Caenorhabditis elegans: one gene and its partners. The protein of the gene in region 1 interacts with the protein of each later gene in a pairwise test. Each region holds a gene or a part of one and is shown in the gene's direction. Other genes may lie near its edges.

The links.
Region 2: the proteins of set-1 (region 1) and unc-62 interact in a two-hybrid assay, tested with the Caenorhabditis elegans proteins (one large-scale study listed by BioGRID).
Region 3: the proteins of set-1 (region 1) and mafr-1 interact in a two-hybrid assay, tested with the Caenorhabditis elegans proteins (one large-scale study listed by BioGRID).
Region 4: the proteins of set-1 (region 1) and lsy-2 interact in a two-hybrid assay, tested with the Caenorhabditis elegans proteins (one large-scale study listed by BioGRID).

The regions. Positions count from the first base shown.
Region 1 is NC_003281.10:6,448,318-6,455,347, reverse strand, and holds set-1 (Histone-lysine N-methyltransferase set-1), read left to right. Parts: upstream 1-2,975; 5' UTR 2,976-2,991; coding exon 2,992-3,155; intron 3,156-3,288; coding exon 3,289-3,527; intron 3,528-3,573; exon of another isoform or gene 3,574-3,581; coding exon 3,582-3,769; intron 3,770-3,780; exon of another isoform or gene 3,781-3,857; coding exon 3,858-3,995; 3' UTR 3,996-4,556; downstream 4,557-7,030. Other genes in the region: jhdm-1 (JmjC domain-containing histone demethylation protein 1), read right to left, coding at 1-321, 372-503, 552-865; T26A5.6 (UDENN domain-containing protein), read left to right, coding at 4,663-4,719, 5,054-5,251, 5,299-5,536, 5,614-5,769, 5,816-6,138, 6,195-6,541, 6,590-6,723, 6,918-7,018. UniProt on the Caenorhabditis elegans protein: Histone methyltransferase that specifically monomethylates 'Lys-20' of histone H4 (H4K20me1). H4K20me1 is enriched on hermaphrodite X chromosomes and during mitosis. Involved in dosage compensation by repression of X-linked gene expression in hermaphrodites.
Region 2 is NC_003283.11:4,494,947-4,502,528, forward strand, and holds the start of unc-62 (Homeobox protein unc-62), read left to right. Parts: upstream 1-2,516; 5' UTR 2,517-2,520; coding exon 2,521-2,643; intron 2,644-4,383; exon of another isoform or gene 4,384-4,849; coding exon of another isoform or gene 4,850-4,861; intron 4,862-6,272; coding exon 6,273-6,454; intron 6,455-6,772; coding exon 6,773-6,923; intron 6,924-6,970; coding exon 6,971-7,078; intron 7,079-7,582. UniProt on the Caenorhabditis elegans protein: Acts redundantly with ceh-20 and ceh-40 to perform overlapping roles during embryogenesis.
Region 3 is NC_003279.8:10,621,209-10,627,814, forward strand, and holds mafr-1 (Repressor of RNA polymerase III transcription MAF1), read left to right. Parts: upstream 1-1,964; 5' UTR 1,965-1,969; coding exon 1,970-2,052; intron 2,053-2,102; coding exon 2,103-2,442; intron 2,443-2,491; coding exon 2,492-2,613; intron 2,614-2,664; coding exon 2,665-2,857; 3' UTR 2,858-3,153; downstream 3,154-6,606. Other genes in the region: Laminin subunit alpha lam-3, read left to right, coding at 1-105; arch-1 (Protein archease-like), read left to right, coding at 3,263-3,439, 3,731-3,880, 3,926-4,066; B0511.6 (ATP-dependent RNA helicase), read left to right, coding at 4,187-4,498, 4,547-5,269, 5,773-6,075, 6,335-6,451, 6,571-6,606.
Region 4 is NC_003284.9:2,085,764-2,094,749, forward strand, and holds lsy-2 (Zinc finger protein lsy-2), read left to right. Parts: upstream 1-3,940; 5' UTR 3,941-4,036; coding exon 4,037-4,063; intron 4,064-4,241; coding exon 4,242-4,382; intron 4,383-4,433; coding exon 4,434-4,539; intron 4,540-4,591; coding exon 4,592-4,748; intron 4,749-5,163; coding exon 5,164-5,247; intron 5,248-5,298; coding exon 5,299-5,394; intron 5,395-5,453; coding exon 5,454-5,630; intron 5,631-6,499; coding exon 6,500-6,608; intron 6,609-6,709; coding exon 6,710-6,805; intron 6,806-6,861; coding exon 6,862-6,966; 3' UTR 6,967-7,490; downstream 7,491-8,986. Other genes in the region: F49H12.2 (uncharacterized protein), read left to right, coding at 467-565, 614-686, 736-967; col-164 (Nematode cuticle collagen N-terminal domain-containing protein), read left to right, coding at 7,726-7,954, 8,007-8,722, 8,773-8,986. UniProt on the Caenorhabditis elegans protein: Involved in transcriptional regulation. Required to specify left-right asymmetry of the ASE gustatory neurons, probably acting upstream of microRNA lsy-6.

The DNA.
Region 1 (7,030 bases):
AACCAAAAGACTTTACGACCTTTCAGTACATGATACCACACAGATGTTCCACTAAAATCAATGTGAAAATCTGTATAACAGTTCGCTACGCTCATCAGGCAGTAGTTTTGAACTTTTGGAAAAGTATGATGCGGATTGTAGAATTTTTTGTCTCTTCCGTTGAATGAGATCCACCTCTGGCGCAGAGCATCTGGCCACTGGTTTCCAACCCAGTCGATTTGACGAACAAGTTCTGGAGATTTTACGAGATCTTCTAAGGGAGTTTGGGAAAATTCTAGAGATAGAACATTGTACAGTACTTCTCGTTTTTCTTGTGGCGTTCTGGAAAATGAAGTTTGATTGGTGTTTAATACTAATTTGTAATTACTCACTTGTAGAAGTTTATAAATTCCTGTAACGACATTTTCACACTTCCTTGATTCTGGACTTGAACAACTTCTATCATTCGATTTCCGCCTACCAGTTCGAGGACATCATCCACTGAGAAATCTGGTGAGGGAAGTCTGTAAAAATATTTATTTTTACAATTAATTGGAAAAATCAATACTCACGTCATTCCTATTCTTTTTGGATCACATCGGAAATGTATCGGGTTGTCAAGTCCATTTTTGTCGTAGAACTCCAAATTTAAAGCTTCTGGGTCCATTGTATGTACAAATTCGGGATGTTGGAAAGACGGATCATTCATCAGAGCTTCGAAATCAAAATTCACACATCGTTGAAGTGACGACTTATCGAATCCAGTAGTTTCTTCACCTTCTGAAGCACTATGTTCGTGCTCTGAACTTGACTCTTTCCTAGCCTTCTTTGCGCCCTTTTTACCGTTCGCTGGCGTTTTTCCATTTGATTTCCGTTTCGGCGGCATCTAAAATAATATATTTTATTAGAATCATAGGAAAATGGTTAGTTATGATACAAAACTGTCATAAAGTTGGCGTAACTACGGTAAATCAATTAAAGACTTGAACGCAGAGAACGGAGTTTTTCTCAGGACATTTTCAAGCGATTAATTAGATTAACTTTCGAGATTCTAATGGCTTTTAATAAAAGAAAATGTAAATTAAGTACCCAAAAAAAGTTTCGTGAACTGCTTGAATTAAAGGTACATGGAATTTTCGAAGGGTCTCAAACGGAACACAGTGATTTTAAAAAATCGATCGATTTGTCGGTTCTTATTTATTTAATTTTTTGGACTTTTTTCATCTTATTTTTGAAAACTGTTTCTAATTGTTTTGATTGAAGCGTTAATAAGACCGAGTAAGGAATTATCTTTAAATAAATTGACAAATTTTGAACATAATTTTCCGCACTACGATGAAAAAAGTTAAAATTTGATTATTTTTGCTTTTAAATGCTTCTTAAAAGCAATAAGAGAGAAATACACATTCAAAACATTAAAGCAAAAAGCGTGCAAAAATCGAAATAGAAACTATGGGCAAGGAACGGAAAAGGCGCAAGCTGGACCACTGGCGTGTTCGACGCAAGCCGTTTCTCTCTCTGCGACTCTCCTCACCCTCACCCCATAGTGCATTCCTGTTTGTTGTTTGATCGTATAACCAGCCTCCTTTCTTTTCACTCCCTGATTTCACTATTTCTTCCTCTTTTTTACTATTTATTCCATTAAAATACAATTCTGGGTTTTCAAGGTCAATATTTCTTCCTTATTCCTGATAATTCGTATCGATTTCCCCTGACATCCTTTCTGGCCTACAATTATGTGGCGTTGTGACGTAGACCGCTGAATTGACAAAACAGTCGAAAACGAACGGGTGGACGGCACCATTCTTTGTTTGCTGCTCAATCTTACAACGACTAAACTTTTTATCGATTTAGCGTTTTATCGACCGCAGCATAAATAGGAAGGGAATGGAATAGAATATACCGATCGTTTTCTAATTACCCATTCATAATCGATTAGCTGCCAGCATCAATAAACCAGCGGCTGCATCTTCTTATGTCATTCAGATTCTCGACACCGATTCGATGTTCTTTTTTTCAGCATATCTTCTTCGTCGGGCTCTCATGTAGTCGCATTGAAGAATGACAAACTGCATTTTTTATGCGATGACACTCTTGTGCACGATGTTGCCATCGATTTGTTGCTCTGTTTCTCATAGTTGTTTTTTTTCAATTCAGTCAAAATTAATAGATCAATAGGACATCTAAATTTAAAATTCCAGTTGGTATAATATTTAAAATATAAATAGAAACATTAGTCATGCGCATGGCGTCAAAATTTATCTAAATTTTAATCTTTGAGTATCTTTTCTGTTTAATTTTACGAGCCCAATAAGTGTATCTATTATTACGGAAATATACATTTTAAAGTTCAATTCCATAATTTCAATCCACCATTTTTTACACCAACCACCGACATCTACCGTGAGTGCAATAACGCTCCACGGCACTTCCCGCCAAAACCATATGACTGCACACCATTTGAATTTAGTCGCGTGTGCACGACATTGTTCTTTGTGCTCAGCTCTCGTCAAAAACCACTGAATTTGATTTCTAATGAGGTTATTCACGAAATGTGGATAAATATCTTAATGATGATGTTCTACTCGGTCTTTTGATATTTGGAAATTCAACGGAATCGGTGAAAGCCCACCCTTTTCACAATAGAAACCTTCACTTTCTAAAAAAAATATTCCTCCGAAAACCCATTCAATCTGCTTTACGCATCTCTCTGCCCGCTTCAATTTCCTCTGTTACCCTCTTCCCAACTACTTTTTCAGGTACATCCAAGATGGCTTTTCCATTTTCAATTACAGTATTCAGGACCGATGAAATCATATTGAATATCTGGGTTTTTGAAACAACACATTATAATATTTTTACCCAACCATTTCAAAACAAAAAAAATAAATTGTGGGCGAATATTTCTATTATTTCTATGACACCTCTTTTGCTTCTTTATAAATTTCTCTATTTTTACTATTCTCCTCACCCTACAAAATTTATTATTTTTTCAGCGGTGTCACTCGAAGGATGAAAGTTGCCGCGAAGAAGCTGGCAACGAGTAGAATGCGAAAGGATCGTGCCGCAGCAGCGTCACCATCTAGTGATATTGAGAACTCCGAAAATCCATCGTCTTTGGCTTCACACTCTTCATCTTCAGGAAGAATGACACCGTCGAAAAACACAAGGAGCAGGTATGATTGATTAGTGACAAGAGGGATTGTAATAGAACGTTTAAAAACTTCAATATTTCTAATTGAATTCACAACATATTCACAGAAATTGTCCAAGCTGAAAACTTCAATTTCCAAATAGTTTTTCTTTCAGAAAAGGAGTGTCGGTGAAAGATGTCTCAAACCATAAAATCACAGAATTCTTCCAAGTGCGGCGAAGTAATCGGAAGACGAGCAAGCAAATTAGCGATGAAGCTAAACATGCTCTTCGCGATACCGTACTCAAGGGGACTAATGAACGACTTCTTGAAGTGTACAAAGATGTTGTGAAGGGGCGAGGAATTCGAACGAAAGTTAACTTTGAAAAAGGAGACTTTGTTGTCGAATACAGAGGTATGTAGATAACACAGATAATTGTTGTAATATTGTTTTTAAAAAGTATTCTAGGTGTTATGATGGAGTACTCGGAAGCAAAAGTGATAGAAGAACAATATTCGAATGATGAGGAAATCGGATCCTACATGTACTTTTTTGAGCACAACAATAAAAAATGGTGTATCGATGCGACAAAAGAATCTCCATGGAAAGGACGACTCATCAATCATTCCGTGTTAAGGCCGAATCTCAAAACGAAAGTGAGCATTTCAAAATTTGAAATTTATTAAGAAAGTCTTTGATAAATTAAAAAAATGTAAATAACAATTCCAAAACTAAACATTCCAGGTGGTGGAAATCGATGGGTCGCATCACCTGATTCTCGTCGCCAGGCGTCAAATCGCACAAGGAGAAGAGCTTCTCTACGATTATGGAGATCGTTCAGCAGAGACGATTGCCAAGAATCCATGGCTTGTGAACACATAATATGTTGCTCCACAACATCTCTTCGATCTGCTCAATCCATTTCAAATGTTCATTTACCTTCACGAGTATACTACTGTAATTCCCTTCATTTTCTCATATTTTCCACGGCACTCGTGCCCAATCCTCTCATTACTTCGTCTCTTTCAACCGCCTTTTCTCATTCTCACAGCGAATCAAACCTGAAACAAATCTCAATAACGAGCCGTAATAACGTGCTCATTTATGATAATCTGGATCTCGTGAGTATCCAATTCTGTACCTTTCCTGTTGACTTTTGAAAAGTCCCTTGTTCTTTCCTTTCATTGAAACCTGAAAATCTCCTCACTTGTTCCACTACGAAATGCCTTTAATATCTTTAATTCTTCTGTAAATTTCTCGTTGATCGCCCATTTTTTCCTGAATTATTCATTTTTGTGGTGTACATGAGGTGCGAGTTGGAAACCTACTTTAATGACTGGTTAACGCTAAAATCGTTTCCATCCCTATCGGAAAACATTATCAGCGTGCAAATCTCAATTTTTCATTTTGAAAACAATTAAAATCCATAAATTTTGCTACATTAATCTTTTTTTACGAGTATATTCCGTTTTCCGGTATAGCAACCATAAGAATTTATCTGAAGATGGTAAAATTCGGGAAAACATTAGAGCTTACAGTTCAGAGAAAGATGCATCCAATTCTGAATGTGGTCGTCGTTAGTTTCCATCACAAGCGAGGATGTGAGGTAACAAAAATGGCAAACTATCAGAAAAATCAGGAAAATATGATACATAAAAGAATAAACTCGAAAACGTAACGATTAAGGTCATAAATGTGCAGGAAAGTAATAAAATGGCAATATAAACTACAAAATCGCGTATATTTTGCAGTTAATTTGAAATAAATGTTACAGTCAATCGAACATTTCACAAAAAGCAGAACGTTTTTGGTACTTTTTACTATTTTTGCAGTATTTTTCATATACATTTAATTATTAAGTTTTGTATTATATGGAGTGAAGATTTAAATTCAAGTTCATCAACTCAATTTGTAAAAAATCAATAAAATAAATCTTGTAGGTAGAATACTCGCACCCGAAACTCGATGGCACGGGCGAATCGGGATTACCCGATGAATGGCATCTTCTTCCATCACTGGCGTTGCCGGATGGTGTACATAATTGTCAAAAAGATACAATATTCTTTTTGCTTCCATCTAGAGAAGAACCTGGAAAATCGATATTTGGCATCTCGTGTTACAGACAAATCGATGCAAAAGTGAGATTTTATATGACTCTTCAGATAAAAACTGTTTGACTTTGCAGGAATTAATAAATAAATCGGAAGATGTGACTAGGACCAGTGTTCAAAAAGCTGTATGCGTTCTTTCAAGAATACCACTTTTTGGTCCATTAAAAGCAAAATTGGAAGTAATAACTCAGGCATATTTTGAACAAAAAGATTTTTCGAAAGTTGATGTTCTTGCTCAAATGTATACGAATCTTTGCGATATATTCGACGAAAATCTTACTGGAGAATACTTTTCAAATCTAGCTCATCATGGTACGTTATTGAATCAATTTACTAAAATAAAACATGAAAATAGTTTCAAATGTTCACATTTTAATTAGCGATATCAGTTTCAGAAATATCAATTCAAGAGCTTTTTATACGATTCCGTCACCGAGCTCTACTGCTTTTTAAATTATTCCTATTAGAGCGGAAAGTTTTATTCATTGCACCAACTGGATTACGATTAGGAGAAACTATGCTGGCTATTGTTTCAATGTTTCCAAGTAAGAATATACAGACATTTTAAAATCGTTTAATTTTGAATTTCAGAGCTTTTGGAAGAAGGTCTGTTCTACGCAACAATCGGGGTCAATACGAGTTGTCATTTCAAAAATGTAAATTCAAAAACTGAAGGAAAAAGCGAAGAAATAGTGATAGAAGAGGAGGTTGGTGTTCAGCTTTCACATGATGATCCATTGAAAGAAAAGGATTCGTGTGGATTTCCTATAAGCTTATTCACACAAGGATCATCATTTGATCCATATCTATCAATTCAATCAATGGATTTAGTCCCGAAGACTCAGAGTTGTATATTTGGAGCTACGAATGCCTTATTTGCGATGAAAAAGGATTTATTTGATGTTATTGTGAAGGTTTGTATTTTAAATTAACAATTTTCAGGTTTCTAACTAAACTTGAGTAATTTCAGATCGAAGACGACGGTTCTCTTGTCCATAATCACATTGAATTTGTCAACGACACAGCATTGGAACGAGTAGTTTCTCTAACTACTGCAGATCTTCGATTCGCTGATTTTATTCTCAAAAAAGTCGAAGAACAGGTTAAATCCTCAAATGCTGAATTCGATGGATCAGATGAATGGATTCGTTTACAAATGAAAAACTATCTTCTTGGCCTCGTTGCCACGTCACGTTCCGATCTACAAGCAGCGATACCTCATTTTGGAATCGCTTTTGTAAACGAATGGCGGAGAACTAAAAATCACAAAATTTGGGTTGCAAACAAACATGAAGATTTAACATCTGTTGCGCCAGGGTGAGGAATTTCAGAACATGAATACATTTTTCAATCTGAATATTTCAGGCACATGTTCTCGGAACAAATGGGAGTCTATGACGTGTATCTTCGTTTTGAACATGCCGTAAATGGAGTTGAAGGAGCTTCAAAAGTTATTGGAACTGTAAATACTGCCGGAAAGAATTTAGGAAATACCATTGGTAATTTTTTTCGGGTTTGGAAATTAATATAGCATCTAAAAAATTTCGAGAAATGAAGTAGCAGTAAAAAATTGAGGGCATAGCTTTCATTGCTTTGAATTATTCAAAATGTTCAAAATTTACAAAACTGACATTTTGCCAAAACGAAAAAAATATTTTTAATACTAAAGTGATTAACTCGATCGTGTTTTCAGGAGAAACCGGTAGTCGAGTCAAAGCAAAATTCTCAAACTGGTGGAATCGAAAAGCAACCGCACAAGAAGGTGTTGAAGAGGCAGAGGAGCCATCTGAGTGATTTATTAAAGTC
Region 2 (7,582 bases), on another chromosome or scaffold:
CTAGTCACTTTTTGCTCCAGCCGGCTTGACCTAAAAATCATACACACATAAAATGGGCCGGCCTCCTCTTAAAATTGACAGATACATCTCATAAACCAATTAAGCGGCGTCTCGTTTACAACTTGACATAATGAGGTAAAATAGGGGGCGGTGCACCTGGCTGGGGGGCACACCAACAACGATTCAATCGAAATCTTTTTTTTTGTTGTGTTTCGTTAGCATTTTTGCCCCGGTGCCCACTCCTCCTCCAATTTTTTCGACGGGTTTCTATAGACCCCATCAATCATTTGTATGACTTGTCCGGTGCAAGTCCACGCAATTCTCCTTCCTTTTTTTGCCTCCGTCCCTCACTACCACCACCACCACCACCACCGACGACGAAACGTATCGATTTAAAAGGAGAGGGAAAAAGAGCGTGCGCGCGGGCCGCCCGTTTTTCAAATTTTGTTTCGTGTCCCCCCCCCCCCCCCCACCAACACCGGGCCGGCTGGTCGGTGGTTGTGATGGTGGTGGACACACGGGTTACTGTAGTAGGCATACACATCCCCTGGTACGGTATTTGGGGAGCCAGGCGAGAGAATCGAAATAGAAGCGAAGAGCAGGGGAGCAAGAGCATCGATTGCGATACGATGCGTGGAAGAAAAAACCACTGATAACTTTTTTTTTCGAATAATGTTCGGCGCACGTAGCAAAGAGCACACCGTAAGCTTATCAGTTTATACGTCAGCCTCGTTGAGCAAAGATCTGCCTAGGTTTTTGAGTATGACTATGGAGAAGAAAAAGTAGATCAGATTGGGAAACAAAATGGCAAAACTATGTACAAATGAATCAAATTTTGTTAGCCTCTAAATTAGCTTTTTTTTATTCACTCTATTTTAGAGACTTATATCTAAGTTGTCCTTAGTCTTATTAAAAAATGTTTTACTGTAAAAATGTAGAAAAATATTTGCACAAATTTTGTCAGTTGAAAATTTTTTTTACAAGCCCTAATGGGATCGAGTTATAAGCCGTCAAAGTGGAGCAAAAAGAGGCAAGGCGGATAGAGCAGTAGCTCTTTTGCATAGAAACAGTAGCTATATTGAAAATGGAAAGCTTGTAAAAAATTGGTTTAAAAATTTGTTAGCCTCATAATTTTGGCCTTTAATTTAGGCCTTTGATTAATCTTTTGAGCTGAGCCTATTACTCTAGAATTTTTGAAACAACTCAATTCTGTCAATTCAAGCAACAAAAGCACCACACGCTACCTTCCAGGAAATCTGAAATCTATAGGTTAATCTTCTTCCCGTGTCTACCATGTTACCAAACAAAGAAAAACAGTCTGAAACTTTATCCCACTTGACACCTCCTACCCCTCCTCTTCCATATGATCCTAATCTTAATCCCCTTAGAACAAAAGGCGACGTTAATAAAGTGCAGCTGGAGTATAAGTAGATGAGGGAAACGGGGGATGTGGTGCATTGAAGGGAAAAAATGTTGAAACTTTTGTATTTTAATGTTAGCATCTCTATGTCTCTACTCTCTGATTATTGATAAGGAAAATGTGTCAAAAAATGACTGTGCTCTCTGGAAGAGGCGAAAGGTTGCGATATTTTATTACATTCATAGGTGCACATTTAGTTGACAATCTGGAAAGTGTAGTTTCAGAAGGATCTTGTTTAATTAATTAATTTTTTGTGGAAACTTGGAAATAGCTGACTAGGTTTGGTAGAGCTTTTTTGATTCCTGATAATGAATTTGAAAAATTAGGACATTGTCCGCAATTTCCTTAGTAGGCTTGCACCCGTCTTGCTCCACTTTAACAGCTTCTATCTCAGCTCTCTTTGATTTTATCAGAAAAATTTTAACTGACAAAATATGCGCAAAATGTTTTTCTATATTTTACCAGTTAAACATTTTTTGATCCAATCAAAAGCAACAGAGATATAGGCCGTCAAAATAGTTTCTCACATTTTCGGTGGAGCAAATTTCTTTCAGAAACCGAACTCACTTTTAGATTTTTTTTTAATTTCCAAACTAGTCACATTTCCTCAGCTCATGCTCATTCACATGACAAAAAACTTCCGGTGAAACTGGCGGTATAATGAAACTTTTTTTTCAGTCTCATACCGTACATTACATAAACCTTATCAAATAAAAAGAAACTAGTTCCAATCTTCATTCTTTCCACTTTATTTTTCCTTAGCACTTACATTTTTTTTGTTCGAATTTCAAAAATATAATGAGAACAGCTTTGTGCACCTAGTGGGGGCAAAAACGAACAAAAGCAATTTATCTTCAATGCGGAGGACATTGGACACAGGACAGCAGCATGTAAACTTGAATTTGCCCTCCTGGTTCATCTCTTGCGGAGCCTATTTATTATTTTTTTTTTCGAATCCATCCCTTTTTTTTTGGTGTGCTTTTTGTGCTTTCGGGCCACGAGGACCCATCTGCTGTTGCTCACGCACAGACTCTTTTGATAAATGATAATGAGTTTCACGTTTTCTTTTTCAAAATTTAATATTTCTCTCTTGCAGGAACATGAGCGGCGACTCAAAAGTGTGGGCTCACGCGTCCGCTGACACTTGGGCTGTTCAAAATGGAATTTCGACGTACGATTTGGACACGTCGAGCATCAAACGAGAGAAGCGGGATCACAATGAGGTAAAATTTAAGAATTGGTTGTTGTTTTAATTTGCGACTAAATTTCCTAATTAAATTGATTTCTGAAAATTGAAAAAATTTTTGCCGATTAAAAAATTCTTTAGGATCTTCACATTGTAGTTTAAGAAATTCAAAAATCAATTTTTAGAATTAAAAATAATTTTATAAATCGAGCTTTGAAGGGTTTTGTATTGTCTGAAACTTCAAAACTTTTGGAATTTCGGAAAAAAAAATGAAAAAAATGTTCAAAATGAACTGTAATTTTTCAGTTCTGTTACGATAAAATGCTTTCAGAAAATTGATAAAATCTATAAAATCAAAATTGTAAAAATTTTAGAGTTTCGAAATTGGTTTTTCATTGAAATATAAATTTCAAGAAACCGGGAAAAAATATTGTAATATTTCGCAAAAATTTGAAACATCACATTAAAGGCACACATTGTTTTTTTTTCTGAGTTGGTCTCGCCACAGGAGCTAAATTCAACAGATTTTTTTTCATTTGACATAGGAAAACAAATTTCAAATTCGGAAATCCACTAAAAATTCAGAATTTATTATGAAAAAAGTATATTAAAGGTGGAATAGCGCCAGTGGGAATTTTGTCTAAATACACTTATAATGATCCAAAACGACCGAATATTATAATAAAACACCCCACAAAATTTTAGCTTTTTCATAATTTCCGTTCAAACTTTTGCCAAATTGCCAAATTTTTGAAAAATATGAGCTTTCGAGGAAATCCAAAGCAATGTCGCATGTTTCGCCCCCTACAATGTTTCAACACGAATAATTAAAATAAGCTTAAAGTGTAAAAAATGTAGGAAAAAACTTTTTTTGGTCGACTTCCAAAATTATGAGTAACAAAAACTGAGTAATTGTCACTTTTTGACCGCAAATAAAAAAATTTAAGAAAATTTTTGATTGTTTTGATGTTTTTGTTTGATGTGTTTGTTTGATGATGTTTTATTACGATATTCGGTCATTTTGGGACCATAGGAGTGGTTTTTAACAATTTCCCCATTGGCGCTACTCCACCTTCAACAACTACCATAAAAATCTAAGAACATATTTTTTGGGTTTACAACCTACCAGTTAAAGTTCATAGAGCTAGTTCCACACATCCACGATATAATATGCAATTTAACAGCCGATGATCCGATTATCAATATCAACAGCATAAAAGCAATAACAAAATCCTGATAATTTTCACACAAATTGTCCGCCGCTTTTATCTTTTCTCTCCTCATTCTTCTTCGTCTCATCATCGCTCCCCCCCCCCCCCCCCCCCCCCCCACCGACCGATTTATCTCTTTTAATCACATTAATCATGTGTTTCTTATCGAGGGTGGAAAATTGGAAAATTGATAGGCGACATGGAATTTGGCTGCCAAGAATCGGGTACTACTTGGTAGAAAATGTAAATTTGTGTTAGCTGGAAAACCTGAGGTCCCCCACACTTGACTTTTTGCCTCGTCTCGCTAAAACAAAAAAAAGAGGAAAATGCAATGCATGTATTTTTTCGTCGTCGTCGTCGTCGTCGTTTTCTTCGTGTTTGACTTCTTCTACTCCTCTCCAAATTTGCCTTCTCACCCTCCTCTCACACCCGGGGTCTACTGTACCGAATTGAGTGCCTATTGGCGCAATAGGGCGGGGCCCCGGCGCATCGCTCTCTCTCTCACTCACTCCTTCTCTCGAGGGGGGCTAACAGGGGAAAATAGACTGAGAGAGAGAGGAGAAGGCAAGCGAGTCGATCTGCCCCCCGGTTGCCCGTTTCTCTCTCTTTCGGTGGTTTCTCGTATTTTTCCCCCACCAGGGAGAGTCAGAGAGAGGGAGCCCCGCCCACATTCACCCCACCAACCCTCCCCCCAACGATCGGACAAGATTGACATACAACCGTTTTGAAGTGTGTGAGAAGTTGTCATTTTCGATATTCATCTGTCTGTCATATTATTTACGTTCGTTCCATCATCATCGACATCACACGCAGGGCAGAGAAGAACACACGCCGCCACCGCCGGCCCATCAAATCGGCACACTAATCAATCGATCAACGAGAGAAGAAGAAGAAGGGGCGGGCGACAAGCTCTGACCATCATCGTGTGTGTGACAGACTGACTGACTGACACCCCGTTGTGGAAAGAGTTTTCGATCCCGACACGACCATCGTTCATCTTATTCAGCAAGGCCCCGTGTGTCGGCAACGACGATGGCGCAGAGGGTACTTCTTCTTCTTCTTCTCCTTCATTCCGTTTCCCCTCTGCTTCTTCTGACTTTGACATGATACCAGAAAGAGCGCCATCCCTTTTTCCTTTTCTCCTCTATAATTTATCGTTGTGTTGGGTGGTGGCTCGAGCTCATTCTTGGGTTTCCAATCAGCCATTGCGCCCCCCACCGCGCCGTCGCTGTCGCTTTTTTCCCGCTTTCTAGATCTCAAAATTGCAATTTTTAGGTGTTCGCCTTGTTTTAAGCGCTGGTTAGTTACAATATAGTTTCCCAAGCTTCAGAATATAGAAAAACTTGACCCCAAATACCTCGAAAAGTCGTATCTCTGCTCATCTCTAGAAAATCAGTGAATATAATACTTTAAAACTATAGTTCTAGAAAAAACAAATATTTTGTCAGCTTAGAACTTTTTGTTTTAACTGAAAATTACAATGAGCTGCCAAATTGAAGCTACGGTCTGCAAGACTAACAGTTGCACCCCATCGTCCAACTTTGACAGCTTATATCTCAGTTTTCGTTCATCCTATATAAAAATTGTCAACTGGCAAAATCCGTATTATTTCTTTTTCTATAATTTTGTAGTTGACTATTTATTTATATCTTCTAATTGAACCGTGATATAACTTTTCAAAGTGAGGTAGTGAGGTGGAATACTATCGACTTTTGCAAATCGTTAAAATAACACCAGTGAATATTTCAAAATATAAGTACTTATATTAAGCCCCTCATTCTTAAATTTTTCCTTGCATCGATTAGTTTTAGTTTTAGTTTCCGAAGCCAACACAAGAATCACAAATAGTTTTACGATCTTACCGACAGTATCACTTTTTCTCGGGAATCATTTGAAAAAAGATAAGAAAATGTCCCAAATTCCACCCCTTTTCCCCGTCTTCCCCGCTGACTAATAAAACCCATTAAAATGATTTTGATGAGCTTGGGCTACTGCTTAGAAAAAATGCCTATGACCACCACCACCAATGGTTCCAAAAAGTGTCAAAAAATTGGCCTCTTTAGTTATCAATACAATTTATCAATTAATCAATTTGAGAGACAAGACACAGAAAAAAGAAAAAAGAAAAAAAAATAGGAAAGCGTGGTTTCAATTTCTCACTTTATCCTTCCACCGTTATCCCCGTTCACATCTTCTTTTACCCGAATCGGGGGGCCGAGAAGATTTATTTCGTCAAAAAATCCGCCTATCATCTTGCCGAAATCTGGAACGGCGCCCCTTTGTACCGAAATTTCGAAAAAAAAAAGATTTTGGAGGAAAACTAAAATTATTGATTTTTTTTTTGCAAAATTTTTGCTAGCCATGTCAGAAGAAGAGATAAGATTTTACCCATAAATCCCTCACATATTTAGGCGCCTTTTAATAAAATTATCTAATCTTATCCATATTTTTTCAGCAGTTCAACGATGGATATGGTCCACCACCGGGCTCGGCGAGCGCCGACCCAGCCAGTTATATTGCCGATCCGGCGGCGTTTTACAATTTGTACACGAATATGGGTGGCGCGCCGACGTCAACTCCGATGATGCACCATGAGATGGGTGAAGCCATGAAACGGGATAAGGAGTCTATTTATGCGTGAGTTTTTTTTGAATTTTAATTTTATAAAGTCTGCCTACAAGGCCTGCCTTGTGCCTGTTTTTTTTTCAAAATTAAACATTCAACAAGTCATCAAAAATTTGTGAAAAAAATTCAAAAGTAGGCGGTAGGCAGGCAAAACATAGGTCCTCATGTTTGGAGACGTGCCTGAGAAGCTGAAGCTAAAAAATTTTGACGTAAAAAAAATTAAAAAATTTCAAAATTTTCTGCTTCTAAATTTCGTTAAAATTATTACATTTTCAAAATACTTTCAAATCGCTAAAAAAAATTGATTTTTAACAATTTTCAAATTTTCAGCCATCCACTCTATCCACTTCTAGTTCTCCTATTCGAAAAATGCGAGCTCGCCACGTCAACGCCCCGAGACACGTCACGCGACGGATCCACGTCATCGGACGTGTGCTCCAGCGCGTCTTTCAAAGATGATCTCAACGAATTTGTAAGACATGTAAGTTTCGGGGAAATAATAAAATGAAAAAAAAGAAAGTTTTACAGACCCAAGAGAATGCTGACAAGCAGTACTATGTACCGAATCCACAACTAGATCAAATTATGCTCCAATCGATTCAGATGCTTCGATTCCATCTGTTGGAGCTTGAAAAGGTGAGCATGAAAATTGAAATGAAATTCAACAAAAAAAACGTAATGCAAAAAAATAATCGTCTGCGTCTCGTACTTTATTTATTTTTTAGACAAAAAGTTGAGACTCCGCTTTGTGTGTGTGTGAACAGTTATCAGTTATCAGCTCCGCGTTCTGAAATGCACTTTCCCAATTTGGGGCGCCGACTGGCACCGTATCAGTGTGTTGAAGAGAGCTAGTTGAAAAAAGTGCATTTCTACGATTTTTGGTTTATTTTTCCAGGCTTTTGGTAACGGCCTAGGCTTCCAATTTATTTTTTACACGCTTTTTTTACGGCTTATGTCTCAATTGGCTTTAGTCTTATCAAAAAATTTTTAACTATTAAAATGTAGGAAAATATTTGGTAAGTATTCTGTCAGTAGGCAATTTTTTGATAAGACCAAAGGGAACCGAGATATAAGCTGTCAAATTGGAGCAACTGGGGTGCAAAAAATTCGGTATTTATCGTTTAATTTTCTTTAATTCGC
Region 3 (6,606 bases), on another chromosome or scaffold:
TTCAATAACCTGGATGAACCATCAACTTCCAAGAATGTAATGCCATGCGCCAAAGCATGCAAACTTAAGAGATCATCAAAAAGAAAGCGTAATTCGAAAAATTAAATTTCTATATTTGTAACATTTTCTTCCTGAATTTGAATATGATTCTCAAAAAAGCCCCTTGTTGATTGCCAATTTTAATTTAATTTTTTTCTTCGAATAAACTATTTTAAATTTAAAAAAAAGTGAGTTTGCACATTTTTTGGAACCAGCTTTTGCTGAAAAAAAATGTGTCCCACGATTTTGAACGTCGCTCACTGTATCAATTTTCGAAATTCTTTTCTCTCTACATGAAACAATACTACGTCCATTTCAAGCTCTCAAAATCTAACAGCACAGTTTCAAATTCAAAAACACGAAATGATTGAGAAATAGAGATGCTCTTTTCAGATGGATTACTTTAATTCAATCTCTGCAGCTTTACTTAAACAACGCAGGTAGGAGGCAGATACTGTCGATCAGAGCGGAGCATTGAGCTTCACGTAGCCTGGCTGTCAAATTGTTTCAGTTGTCCATCCATGCACCATGTCTCCTCCGCCGTCGACACAGTAGGGTTTCCAGTCACTTCCAGCTACTTGTTCCAATCCACATCCTGACGTTAATTTCCAATCGATTCAGTTGTACTTCCTGAAATAAACACCAATATGACATTATTTGTAAATGTATTGAGGCAAGCCATCTACAAGCTTATGAGTTTAACAACAAACTTACAAAATAGCTCCCACTTTGGAGTTGTCTTCTTTTTCCTCTGTCTCCTCTATTTATCCTTTGAACGTTTCGTCTTGAGTAGTTTGTCCGGGGGGTTTTTGTGACATATGCCAGTATGAGTATCTGAAAAAAAAGGTTCATACTCTCAATACTCAAAAAGCTGTAAACTTTATGTTTTATAACATTTTAAAACATCAGATTTACACCTCTGACCCGCACTCACTTTAATATTCCGTTTGGTTGAAGTGAACTGGTTTCCAATTCACACACGACTGTAGGTAAATCGGCTCCATCGTCCGAGGTCCACTCGGAGGTTCCTTGCATACTCATATCTTCGTTCACAGCATCGGAATTGTTGAATTGGCATCATCTTCCCATCCTTCTTGGCAGACCATTTGTTGAAAAGTTGAAGACTGAACACTATGACTAAAACTACTTGCTCATATACCAGTCCTTATCAAGATGTACGTGGTCGTTCAAATAAAAATATTTTTTTAAATTGTTTTCCGTATACCGTATATCCTCTATTAGTAAGACGTGCAAAACTAATTTTCGGACACCTAATTTGATGCAAAACTAATAGAGGGTGCAAAACTAATTTTCAAACAGGTTTTTTCTCATGTTTCCCATTAAGTTATAGCAAATATCATCAATTTCAGTAACACCTTATGAACCAAAATGGACTAATTAATTCCACTAAATTCTTGTATTGAATATAAAACTTGTGAATCTCATTGCCTTTTGAAAATTTGATTTGAAACTTGTTAATTTTTTAATCTAAATATTCCTGATTCTGTCATAAATGGTCGTGTTATTTCGTTCTCTAGACCCCTGTGACATCAATTATTTGAAAATCTAGTTTTGACTATAGTTTTTAATTGCAAAACGACTTTCGAAGCGAAATTTAACAAATTTCATTTTACCCCCAAGGTATACGGTAGACAAGTACGCAAACACCAACAACAATATTGCACACATTACACAGAAGTTGCCGACAGTTTGCTAAATCAATGGGATTTTTTTACAGCAGTTTTTCCTTTCTTCACGATAAATCGTTCTGAAAAAGTAATTAAAATTGTTATTTTAGTGTAAAATTTAAAAATTAAATTATTGTTTTCAAAATGCGCGATTTTAAATATTGCAATCTTCATTACGTAGGATTTTTCCGCACTTGAATTCTCCAAATGTTCTCGAAATTTATTGAAAAGCTTTAGAAGCCATGAAGTTTCTGGAAAGCTCCGAAATGGATGTTTTTTCGCAGACACTCGTTACGGGAGCAATCGATTGTGTTATTGATTTCAAGTGAGTCATTTATCTCAATATTAAGAATAAAACAAATCGTTCAATTTCAGATTAGAAACGTATTCGTCGAAAATGGTTACTAGCGAAAAGAAACAATGGAAATCGAACGATAAATCTGTGATATGGGGTGAACGCCAGCCTCTAGGATCTTACGAGGAAATGGTGATGAGTGCATCGCCCAGTGTTGGTCACAATCATCGGCTTCGCCATTTATCGGAACGCTCGTGCTCAGGAGGATCAGACAACGATTTCGACGTGAATGACTACCTGATAAAAGACTCAATTTCGCGAAAGAAATTGTATGATCTGACTCAAGTTCTGAACTGTTCGTTTCCGGATCACGATTTCAGTAATGCCAACAGTGAAGCGTTTGCTCTCGTCAATTATTCGGTTAGTAGCTTCTTACAGCTAAATAACATTAACGCGCATGATTTTTCAGGACCTGAGCCGTCTCGTTGATATGAAGCTTGAGACAATTGTCAGAGACTATCACGTGAGAAGAGAAGAGCTATGGGGAATTATTGATGAGGCAATTGTGCCCGGTGACTGTCAAATATACAGGTATTCCGTTTGATTTGAGAGGATATTTTATATAATTTCCATATTTTTCAGCTTCAAGTCCCAATTCGAAGACGATCCGTTTACCGAAGACGGTTGCATTTGGGCACTTGCCTTCATTTTCTACAACAAAGGACTCAAACGTTTTGTTCTTCTCACAATTCGTTGCCTATCGAAACAAGCCGACACGTCCATCGAAATTTTCCCCGATTTCAGTGAAGACGAGGCGGAACCACAAGAGAAATAGAGTGCAGATTATTCATGTAGAACGCTTAGAATAGACTAATATTCAAGGCGATATAGTATTAGTCTTGCCGGCCAAGCCTCTTTCCCTCTTGTAGTTCTTCTCTTGTAAATAGATTCCATTTCTCATCAATCCTCAACCTCCTCCTTCACCTCTCGAGTTCGCATTTAATTTGCCACTTCCCACACACCTACCGCTAGATTAAAGGAACAAATACTTCGATTCTCATTCCTTTTCGTGGCTCGTAGATATCAATTTTCACAAAAACCGCATCATAAATACATAAAATTGTTTTTTTTAAGTTAATCAAAATCGATTATTTTTTGGTTTCAACCGTTCTGATATTTTAATCAATTTTTCCTCAAATTTATTTGGTTAAGTTCAGTTTAATTTATTTTCAGTGAAATAATGCCGAGCACATCAATGATCGAAGATCGTTCTGAGATCGAACGTCGGCGATTCGAATATCTCGATCATCCGGCAGATATTCAACTTCACTCTTGGGGATCCACAATGGAAGAAGCCTTCGAAGCATGCCTCGTATCAATGTTCGGCTATATGACGGATTTGGCCAAGGTTGATGAGGTAATTTGAAATTGAATTAGATCGCCTCTTGCGCCTTTTAAGAATTTTTCCACTTTCCTCTGTTTTGTCTAATTTTTCTTACTTCACTTGAAATATGCTTATGAACATATGAAATTGCAATTTAAATCGATATCTTGTAGAAATTTTAGCTTTTGTTCGTGTATTCTCTAGTTTTGAAGCTGCTCCCAGAAAAAAGCTCAATTTTTGCCTTCTTGACTTCATTTTCGAACAAAACCCACAATTTCTACAAGAAACTGATTAAAATAAAATTTTAATTTTGCATTATTTCAGATGTACGAATTCTACTGGAAAGCTTCTGGCGATAGCTTAGATGGTCTCCTATTTCAGTTTCTAGACGAAGCGCTCAACTCATTCCACGCTGAACCATGCTTTGTCGCGAAACGGGTTGAAATATTGCGATTTGATAAGAAAAAGTTTGAGGTATTTGATAAAAAGTTTCTGAAAATTAATCTAAATTCTATTCAGATCGAATTCCGAGGATGGGGAGAATCATTTGATACTTCAAAGCATGAAACAGAGGCTGATATCAAGTCTCCAACTTATTCAAACATGCAAATCAACGAGAAGCCGGAGAGATGCGATATCTATGTCATTGTTGACATTTGATTTTTATTTTACAACTTCTTTTTCACCTTTTCTCGCTTAATTCCTTTGTGATTTGCTTCCGATTATCGTGTCTTTTCCCTTCTGGTTGCTCATAAAATTTGTTAATTTTGCAGGTAAAAAATGGGCATTGACGTCAAGAAGAAGGTGCTCAAGCGAAAGCTGAAACAGATGAAGGATGGACATGAGAAGAAAAAGGCTAAGGAGGTTGTAGTTGAAGAACCAATGGAGGAAGAAGATGAGGAGGAAGTGGAAGAGGAGCAAAAGCATCAAACGGAGGAGTCAAGTGAAACCAAAGTGTCTGAGTTCTTGACGAAGACTACATTTGCATCGCTTGAAGGAAAAGTTAACGCGAATTTGCTGAAAGCCGTACAAGGATTGGGATTCACTACAATGACAGAAATTCAGGCAAAGAGTATTGATCCGTTGTTGGAGGTAGACTTTATAACTTTTTTCTTTTTTTAATAAGTTTCAATTTCTCAGGGAAAAGACGTATTGGCATCAGCAAAAACTGGTTCTGGAAAGACGCTTGCCTTCCTGCTCCCTGCTATCGAACTTCTTCACAAACTCAACTGGAAACAACACAATGGAACTGGTGTCATCATTGTGTCTCCAACTCGTGAATTGTCGATGCAAACTTATGGAGTTTTGTCCGAACTTCTTGAAGGATCCAATTTGACGTATGGATTAGTGATGGGTGGTTCGAATAGAAGTGCAGAGAAGGATAAGCTTGCGAAGGGAGTTTCGATTTTGGTGGCCACTCCTGGACGACTTTTGGATCATCTTCAGAATACTGACAACTTTTTAGTCCGCAACATGAAGTGTTTGATTATTGATGAAGCTGATAGAATTTTGGATATCGGATTCGAGATAGAAATGCAACAAGTTCTCCGTCATCTTCCAAAACAACGGCAGTCAATGCTCTTCTCGGCAACTCACTCTCCAAAAGTTGATGAGCTCGTGAAATTGGCTCTTCACTCGAATCCAGTTCGCGTTTCTGTACACGAAAAGGCCGAAGAGGCAACAGTTGAAGGATTACAGCAGGGTTATATTGTTGCTCCATCTGATAAGCGTCTACTTCTTTTGTTCACATTCTTGAAGAAGAACAAGACGAAAAAAGTGATGGTATTCTTCTCATCGTGCAATTCAGTCAAATTCCATCATGAGCTTCTCAACTACATTGACATTCCGTGCATGTCTATTCATGTAAGGATTTTAAACGATTATTTTATGAACACTTTTATCAAAGATCGCAAAATGAATCTTTTGAGACGGCTTCACATATCCTTAAAATTGTTAATGGCGGTTCGAAATTTCAAAAATAAAGCCTATTTTAGCTAAAATCTGAAATTCCGACAACTTGACAAAGTCACAACTCGCGGAAATGTTTTTTATTTAATTGTCACAGTTTAGTGCATAATTTGGTAATTTATTGCACGTTGTTTCGTTCATTGGAGTAATTTTTAGTCGATGGGGGCAAACAAAGACCGGAAATGAACGAAAAACGAGTAATATACTATCAAAGTTGGCAATAAAGGGTGATAATTGAATAAAAACAGGTGCTGTGGAGAAATTGAGATTTTTGCTTAAAATGATTTTTTTAAACAGAAATTTTGAACCGCTATAAAAAGTTTAATGGAGATTTGAAGACGTCTAATAGAGAAATATCTTAAATTTCCCTCAACTAGTAATATAATTAATTTTTGCAGGGAAAACAAAAGCAACAGAAAAGAACAACGACATTCTTCCAATTCTGTCAAGCTGAAACAGGCATCCTTTTGTGTACAGACGTGGCAGCTCGTGGACTCGACATTCCAGCAGTTGATTGGATTGTACAATATGATCCAACTGATGAGCCAAGAGAATATATTCATCGTGTCGGACGTACAGCACGTGGAACAAATGGAAGTGGAAAGGCTCTTCTCGTTTTGAGACCTGAAGAACTTGGATTCTTGCGTTATTTGAAGGCCGCTAAAGTCACGTTGAACGAATTCGAATTCTCATGGAGCAAGGTATGCACTTTCAATAGGCGACGTGTTCTTTGAATCAAAAGTTTTTTTTTAATAAAAAACCGGTAAATGATCCTTTGATAAGAAGGTCACACACCCAAGTGCAAGTGAAATAAGATCCAAAGATTAAAACTTTAGGTATACAGGAAGTGAATGAAATCATTAAAAAGCAGAATTCAAAGATGAATGATCAATAAAAAATTTATTTCCGGAAGTGAATTTGCAAAATTTGAAAATAACACTTGAACTTCTCAATTTTCAGGTTGCAAACATTCAATCCCAACTCGAGAATCTCATCAGCAAAAACTACTACCTGAACAAATCAGCGAAGGAGGCATACAAGTGCTACTTGAGAGCGTATGATTCTCATTCATTGAAGGTAATTCACAAAGTGCAAATGATGACATATGAGACTAATTGTCATGGAGTTTCAAGATGTCCGGCTACGAAATACTTGAAAGTATACACACTTCCTACGTAAAATCCCTTTTTTTGCAGGACATCTTCGATGTGACCAACATGGACTTGACTGCA
Region 4 (8,986 bases), on another chromosome or scaffold:
TTGCTTAGAGTCAATTTTTTCTGCTCTAAATGACAATCTTAGTATGTCAGATATCACTTTTAAAAGATTGTCAATCTTTTTTATGATTTTTTTTTCAATTTTACGAAAATCAAAGAAACAGTGAATTTGTAGTCCCGTAAAAGTCAGCGACGTCATTTTTGACATGTTTTCAGACTAACTTGCCGATTTTAGATAAATTTTGAACTTTCCGCAATTTACTTTCACGGAAAAATGTTTAAAAATTGACAAAAAATGTTTCTAATCAAATATTATGGAAAAATCAAAGAGAACCAATGGTTTTAGCCAGAAAACACGAAAAAAATCATTTGAAGCTTAAAATTGCTCTTTATCTATGTAAGATAAACCTAATGAAACTGAATGCTGATTTTAAAAAAAATGTAGTTCAATTTTTCCAGTCACAAAGTACAAACCCTCTTGCCCTACAACTTATATATTTCAATTTTAGATGTGGTAGACGCCGAGCCAACAAAAAAACCGAAAGTCGTTTGGCCTGGAGAATTTGAAAACCAATTAAGGAAGCGAAACCGAAATCTGGAGAAAATTGGTGGGTGAAAGGTCATAAAAGAAAAAGAACCCAATGTATTTTTTGCAGATGAAAGAGAGAATAATAGACTTGAAACACCAGCAATACATACTCCTTCGGACACTCAAAGCCTGATTTCTAAGTATCTTACTGTAATAATTTAAACTCAAAATCAAGACTAAAAGTTTCAGTGAAGAGGATGCACACTCAACTTCTGATTTGAAACCAGAGACACCGCCAGATGACAAAGTACATAAAGTGGAAAAGAAAGAGCCACCTCCAAAGAAATCATCAAACATTACTCCCATATCCATTAGTGACACTCATTTTATGGATGAGTTTCTAGAGCCGCCTAAAAAGTTGAATCCGACTTCTTCAGGGGGTTCTTTTTTCTTAGTTTCTAGCAATCTGGTTGTTGAATAATTTACTGGTAATTTCTGAAAAATCGCATGACTTTATATTACGACATGTATAGTTTTCATAATGTAACTTGTAAAAGACTTGTTTTCTTCTTTATTGCTTATATTTTCCAAAATAATTTTTTTGCGTAATTTAAGTACTTGTATTTATAATTCTTTGCTAAAAAAATAAATATGTATTATGAAAAACTGCAGAACTGTGAAAATTTAGAAACTATAATTTTTCTGAGGAAATTTATACCTTGGAAATAATATTTCAAACAATGAAATGTATTCTGGCTTTCAAAGCAAACTAAAATGAATAAAAAAAATTATGTAAGCCTTGGAAATCTGAATAATATATTTGAAATATTTTAATATGAAAATTGTAAAAAAGTGTGCATAGATTAGTAACAGTTTTTTTCTGAACATTGCTTTAAAAAATTGATATTAAAGGCTATAAAAATTTAATGGAGAAGTACCGGTTTGGACGATTTTGAACATATAGACCCAAAATGTGCTTAAATAAACGAATTTTTTAATGAAACGACTCAAAATTGTTTCAAAAGTTTTTTATGGCGGTTCAAAATTTCCAAAAATACCTTAATCAACAAAACAACATAAGGTAAATTACCAAAATTTGCAAAAAAAATGACAATAATTAAAACAAATCTACTTTGAATCACTGCGGCACGGAAAAGTAAAAAAAAAGTTGGATAATTTTTTTCGAAATTTTGAACCGTCATATAAAATTTTGTAGATTAAAAAAAAATTTAATTACAAAATTCGATCATTTAAGCACATATTCAATTTATACGTTAAAAGGCGTCCAAACCGTTACTCATCCCTAACTATGTTTATCGAACCGACTTCCCTAGGTTGAGAGATTTAGTCTCATCGTTCCACACGCACCAGGTAACTGAAAATAACATGCACTTTTAGGAAGCTAGAGCCAGGATGTCTTAATCCTTTTCGTTTTCCCCATTTGTCTCGATCCAATATAACGAAGCGGTTAAGTTCTCAAAACTTCAAAAATCTGTCGAATGAAGCAAGTGTGAGCTGCTTTTTTTCAAATAAAAGTATTGCCCTACAAATGTTAGAGGGCTCAGAACGGAAACTAGCTGGCTGTTCAGCAGATGTTCGTCAAGATGGCACCCTTCATGGTAAAAGTATCTTTCACGTTTTTTTTTCTTCGCCGAGTATCTGAGTAGAGGGAGTTTCTCAACTTGTGCTCGTTTCTCTTAATCTAATTTCCCAGAACAACTTGGCGATTGTACTTCTTTTCTGAGACGTCGAACAAGTTTTCACACTCTTGTTAGAACACTTCACTTTGAAGGAATCTTACTATAAACTTTAGGTATCCTTAAAATTTTGATACTAATTGTAAAGACTAATTTTTCGAGTTTCTGGCTTAATATATTATTTTTGAAAAAAAAACGTTTTGTTTTATTTTAGTTCACCAAAACTCCCCTTCTCAAGATTTTTCAATTAGAATTGTGAAACTTATGAACATAAACTGAACAAGACACAAATTTCTCCTCAGGTTTAAAAAAACATTTGGAAAAAATTTGTTATTTTTGGTAAATTAATTTATATAACACTACTTATTGGTATTTTTATAAATAGTATAAATGCTGATAGGTTTCACAAAATGTCAATCTTTATTTGTTTTGTTGTGTTTGTTAACAAACTTGCTTTGTAGTCAATAAATTATCAATAAATATATAAATCTTATTAAATTTAATCTAAAGCTTTAAAATTCAAGAGATCTCTAACTTTTTAATTTTGTATTAAACTACTATTAACCGTTTTCACACTTTTTTTTCGAAATTAATATACACTTATTTTATTTATTTTTCAATTTCATTAACCCGAAAACATTTAATTTTATAATTCAGAATGATGAATTTACACCATCCGCAGCACCAGTCCAATTTCCATGAACAACACACGCCGTTTGCTGCTCCGATTCCAAATGGACACCACAACAACCACGTCTGCCTCCACAACAACAACAACAACAACAACTCCCAATATACTTGGAGTTACACGGTGAGCCAGCGTGGATGCGTGCGAGCAGCAGGCAAGATGCACATCTGCTCTTCGTCTGGGGCTTACGGCGTTGCACGAATATCGAATAGTGTTCATAGCGAATAGATGCGATTTTCTGAGTCCTGATCGATTTTCATTCAAATTTCCAATTTCAAATTTCAAGGTTTTATTTTTTCATTTAACTTTTTTCAATTTGCCAAAATCGTTGAAGTCTTTTGCTGGGTTTTGTTCAGTTCCAAAAGCAGCTGTGACAATATTATACATGTCTTTTATGTTAGGAAAAATATTATTGATCATGTATAATTTGATTGACTTTTACTATTCCAAGCACTAACTTCTATTTATAATTAAATCTTAATTTTACTTTCAATAAAACATTTCTGATGCAAATTATTTTTAAGACTTGCCATAGCCCAAAAATTAGCAACCAATTTCTCAATTCTCGGCCACCTGAGATTATGAAAACGCATCTGCTTATTTTTGCACCTGTTTTGTGTTTTCGACCAAACCATGACTAAAACTAAAATAATTTTTTTCATAAAATTGTATTTTATTTAGAAAAAAAAGACAATTTTAAAAATTCCGAAAAATTGCAATGAAAATGTTTTAATTTGCACTTTATAATTTTGAAAAAAAAATTGTAAAAAATGACGATTATTACGAAATAATATAAAAATACAGTTTAATTTTTTATATCTAATTTTCTAAACACTCGCAATACACAAAAAACTCATTATTTTCTAAATTCTACACTTGCTGAGTTATCAGAAACGATGTAAAAACCACGAACAGCAAGCGACGGTGGTGACCTCTGTCCTCTCGCTCACTATCCTTGTTGTTTGTTGCGCGCCTGCGTCTCGTTTTCTCGTTGCGCTGCGGCCGCGTCGCGTCCCCTCCGAGTGGTCGCATTTCTTACCGTATCGTTCTCATACCATAACCCTTTCTGCACTTGGCGGCAAGGTGAATAGTTTGAATTCGACGCTTCTTTCGCAATATCTAGCAGTCTCGAGCTGTTTTTAAGCTGTCTGAGGCAAATTTTGTCATGCTAACCAGAAGAAATGCTAAGCAGGTAACTAGATATCATTTCAAAAAAAATTTCTAAAATTTTTTGAAATCTCTTGAAACCCATGTTTTCATTTTTATTTCGCTTCTGTACTTTAACCTTTCCTTTTATAAACTCCTTTCAAATTTCAATTTATCGAATCTTTTATAAATTCCCTACTTTTTTAGACGTTCTCTACTTTCAGAGTCAACGGAATTCTGCGGATCAGTCCCTCTCTGAATTCAACAGTTCCAGTATGACTCACGGGTCGAATCAGTCAGTTTATCACCACAATCAACACATGGATGACTCCGAAATGATGATGGATGAGCAGGATTATTCTCAGGTACTCAAAAAAATTCTGAAACCATTTCAGGGGCATCATAATCAATTTCAGTATCAAATGGGGTTTCCTGAAGAAGATGAGATGGTGGAAGGAATGATGACCCCTCGAGCTGTGCACCAGTGTAATGTTTGCAACAAAATATTTGTTTCCTATAAAGGTAATTTTTTGAAAAATACGGTAGCTTTGTCTAACTCTGATTTTGTTTTCAGGTCTCCAGCAGCATGCAGTGATACACACAGATCAGAAGCCTTTCCGATGTGATATTTGTTCAAAATCATTTAGGTTTAAGTCGAACTTGTTTGAGCATCGTTCAGTCCATACCGGCTTCACTCCTCACGCCTGTCCATATTGTGGAAAAACTTGTCGGTTAGTGGTTTTTTTAAACAACATTCGCTGTGCTCTTTCAAATGTACAGTAATAAAAATGTGGCGGGTTGCGAAAACGACCGTTTCCCCTTAATTCTCATTCTCTCACAGTCGACTCTCCTCTGCTAATGCGCAGTACGGTGTGTACAGTGTACGGGCCGAGAAACGGTAGAGAAAAAGAGACGGACGAGAGACACCGTAATGCCATAGGCGACACTGTAGAACAATCGATAAAACGAAGAGAAATAGTGTTAGAATGGTGAAAAAGGCGTAGATAAGATGCATGCCGTACTCATTTCAAAACGGCACTCGTGACAGTAATCTAAATGTTGCGGGTAGAAAACACAAAAATATAATCAACAAAAATTATTTAGGCGATACGAGAAATAACAAACAAATTTTTTAAATTTTTTCAGACTGAAAGGCAACCTCAAGAAGCATCTTCGCACACACGTCACGACGAAGGAAGAGCTGGAAGCTGCCTGGAGGCCGTTTGCCAGGTTTGATCTTAACAAAAACGGAACGCCAGTATTGGCAAAATCTCGGTTCAGCAACCGTCGGCCGCCTGCTGACATCCCTGACGACGCCATCGTACTTCGTGGAGCCGGAGGACCGTACTACACGCCGCCGCCTCGTCCGAAGAAGAAGTAAGCAGACATCCAGCATGCACAATTAAAATGTGAGATTACCGAATGTTTTTTTTCAGGAAGCTTGGACTCGGAGAACCAGAGCACTGGGTGGACAAGTTGAGAAGAGGAGATCTTCTGCCACAAGTTGAGCTTGAGGACAAGATCAGACGTCTCGAAGACACTATCTTCAACAACATGTCTCTTGAGCGTTGGGGCAACCTTTTCGAGATTGCAAAGTCCATTGCATTCGAGACGTGAGTTTATTTATCCTTGAACTGAAAAGAAATCGGAGTGGAAAATGCCGTTTGAGCACATGAATTCTCAGAATTACGGTACATATTATATACATACCTGCTCTCCGTGCGTTTGAGAAAGATTTGACATCAATTCAAATTTTTTGCAACAGTTTCGCTACGAAATTTCGTCAAATTTTGATTGAATTATTATCTTAAAAGAGAGCGTACTTTATAATTTGTTTTAAAATGGCTGGAAGATTGTTGAAAGCATAGAAAGCATCAAAAAGTGAATGTAGGACTGAAAGTGAGTATAAGTATAATATCTGAAAAGCGCTCGGTGTGCGGCAAATTTGCCGAATTTGCCGAATTCATCGAATTCCGTAAATTTCAAAAATGTAGACTTGCCGAATCTGCCGAGCCCGGCAAATACTGAAATTTGCCGCACACATGAAACAATTTTTATAAAAATTTTGTACAAAACTAATGGTTTTGAACAGAAACCTAATGAAAGTAAACATAACATCGTGTTTCTTTTATTTTTTATTGAAGAAATCCACACGCGCATTAGGCAAAATTCGAACAAAAACCAGTAAACGTAGTTTATTTTTTAAATCAATTTTGGCCCTCTTTGAGCTCGAAAAATATTGCGATTTACTGAGTATGACAACCATGGCAAATTTGCCGAATTTGCCGCACACCCATGGTGCGATTCATTTCCTAATATATGCCTGGGTTTGTATACTTATTGAATTTTTTTGAACCAACTGAGTTGTAAGCTCCCAAAATCGAGCAGTGCATTACTAATAGAACTAATAGAACTATTATAATAGAAGAGAACACATTACACAGTTTAAATTAAAATTTTCATTAAACCTACCTAATTTCAGCCATGATTGTCCAGTGTGCAAGTCTCAATTCATGACCAGAATGGATTGTGTCAGCCATCACACACTCGAACACGAAAATCATCGGGAGGGTCTTGAATTTTTCTGCGAAGTGAGTTCTATAACGTTGTAATTTGAGTGGTTTTCTGTCTGTGGGATGATTGAAAATTTGTTATTATTGTTGGATTTACGATACAATATATATTTTTTCAGAAATGCTATAGACCATTTGCTGACGAGGCCAGCTACAATCAGCACATGAGCTACCACACGCGAGTTAGCAGTTTGATTGAAACTGGAGAAATTGTTGTACGTTTACAAAAGTTAATATTTGAACAAATAACTAAAGCTCACTTTTTTTTCAGCCTCAGCCAGCAGATCCGGAAATTTTGGTACCAACGAATGACGAGTTTCAAATGCTGTTTGGCGCAAACTTTGGCCAGCAGATGATGGAACCACAGTTGATTTGAAATTGATTATTATTATTGTTGCTTAGATAGAGTAATTCAGCTTGCGCACTTACCCATTTTTGACGCCTTCGATGACATTTCTTTCAACTTCTCTTATTCACCTTTTTCAAAACGGGGTACTTTTTTCTTCTTGTTTTTTTGGTTCTTTTCTTACCTCGGGGATTAGTATTTTTTGAAGATTTCCTACCCATTGACAGACAGACTTGCTCTTTCAATCATTTTTTTTTCCAAAATTGTAAGCATGCCGTTTATCATTGTTGGCATTGATCTACACCAGCGATATCTTGCTCCTTATTTCCATTTGTAATCCGTTGTTTTTTATTATTATAACCTAATGTATAACCTATTGAGGAGTTTGTATAGTCGTTGTAGTAGTCTTTGTTTGTTTTACCTTTTTTTCCCGTTGCCTGATTTCGTCTATTTTTATATATTCTTCTCTTTTGAGCCGATTGTATAGGTGTTCGATTAATATGAAGTGTCATAATTCAATTTATGGAGTGAATAATAAAATTTTGATACGTTTGAAACAAAATGGAATGAATAGCCTGGTATCCAGAATATGCAAATGCAAAAACTTGTTGAAGCGGTAGCAAGGATCAGATAATACAAATGAAAGTGGTTTGAAGTGAAGATTGGGAAGGAGTAGGACAACTTCCGGAACATACCGATCAGAGTTTTAGATAACACATGTTGTATATAAGACGGTAGTGGGGTACAACATTCATCAACCAAGTTTTTCTCCATTGTTTGTTTCGAGCAATGAGTTACAAAACTATGGAGTCGTCTTCGTCGACTGTCTCATTTGCAGTCATTCTTTCTGGAAGTGCTTTCTTGATTATGGTAACTGCTACTCCTGTCCTTTTCTATACTATGGGAGACATGACTGCTCAACTGGAAACTGCAAAAACTGGTTTTGAAGAGACTTCGAATGTGCTCTGGAAGGAGCTTGTTACGAATGAAAGCCACCGCAGAGTTGCAAGACAAACATGTAAGTGCAGATGTTAACGTTATCTGAAAATATTTGACAAATGAAAATTTAGACAAGGAAGGAGGAGCTGCTGGTGAGGGATCTCCTGCCGCTACAGCACCCGAAGCCAGCCCTGTGAAAATTGACGACTCTTGCCCAGCAGGACCAAAGGGTGAATCAGGATCAGCCGGAGAGCCAGGAACCGACGGAACCGATGGAACTCCAGGAAAAGATGGAGCTGATGGAAGCAATGAGCAGACTGCAAGCCAAGCTGGAGATCTTTGCACTGCTTGCCCAGCAGGACCACCAGGTGTTGCTGGATACAAAGGAAAACGTGGACCACGTGGTGAGAAGGGAGATAAAGGAGCTCCAGGAAACGCAGGCCGCGATGGTGCACCAGGAGATGATGGACCAGAAGGAGACCATGGGCATCCAGGACCAATGGGACCAGCAGGAGAGAAAGGAACCAGTGGAGCTGACGGAAAAGGATTTGCTAAAGGAGCACCAGGACCAAAAGGACCGACTGGAATGGATGGTCTTGCAGGAGACGAGGGTCTTCCAGGAGAGCGTGGAGAGGATGGTTCAGCTGGAGCACAGGGAGAGACTGGACCACAAGGACCACAAGGAGAGAAGGGACCAGATGGATTCCCAGGTCTTCCAGGATCCGCCGGAGCTTCTGGAGAAGATGCTGCCTATTGCCCATGCCCATCAAGAAAAGGAGACATCGCTGGAGGAGGAGGTGGCGGATACGCTGCAGCCCCAGGAACTGAATTTGAAGGATCCCCAGTTGTGAGTTTTACTGCAATTCTTGGATTTCAATAAAATAAAAGTACTTTCAGGAATCCGATCCAGCTAAGCTCTCTGCCGATATTCCAGCTCCATCGCCGATTTCCGATGTCTCTGCTGAAGGAGCGGGCGCCCCAGTTAGCGATGCTTCTGGCGAAGGGCCAGCTGATTCCGCAACTGAAGGAGAAGGTGCTCCAGCTGGAGGAGCTCCAAAGGGAGATACCACATATCCAACAAAGAACCGTGCCAGATTTACCGCCCGTCAAC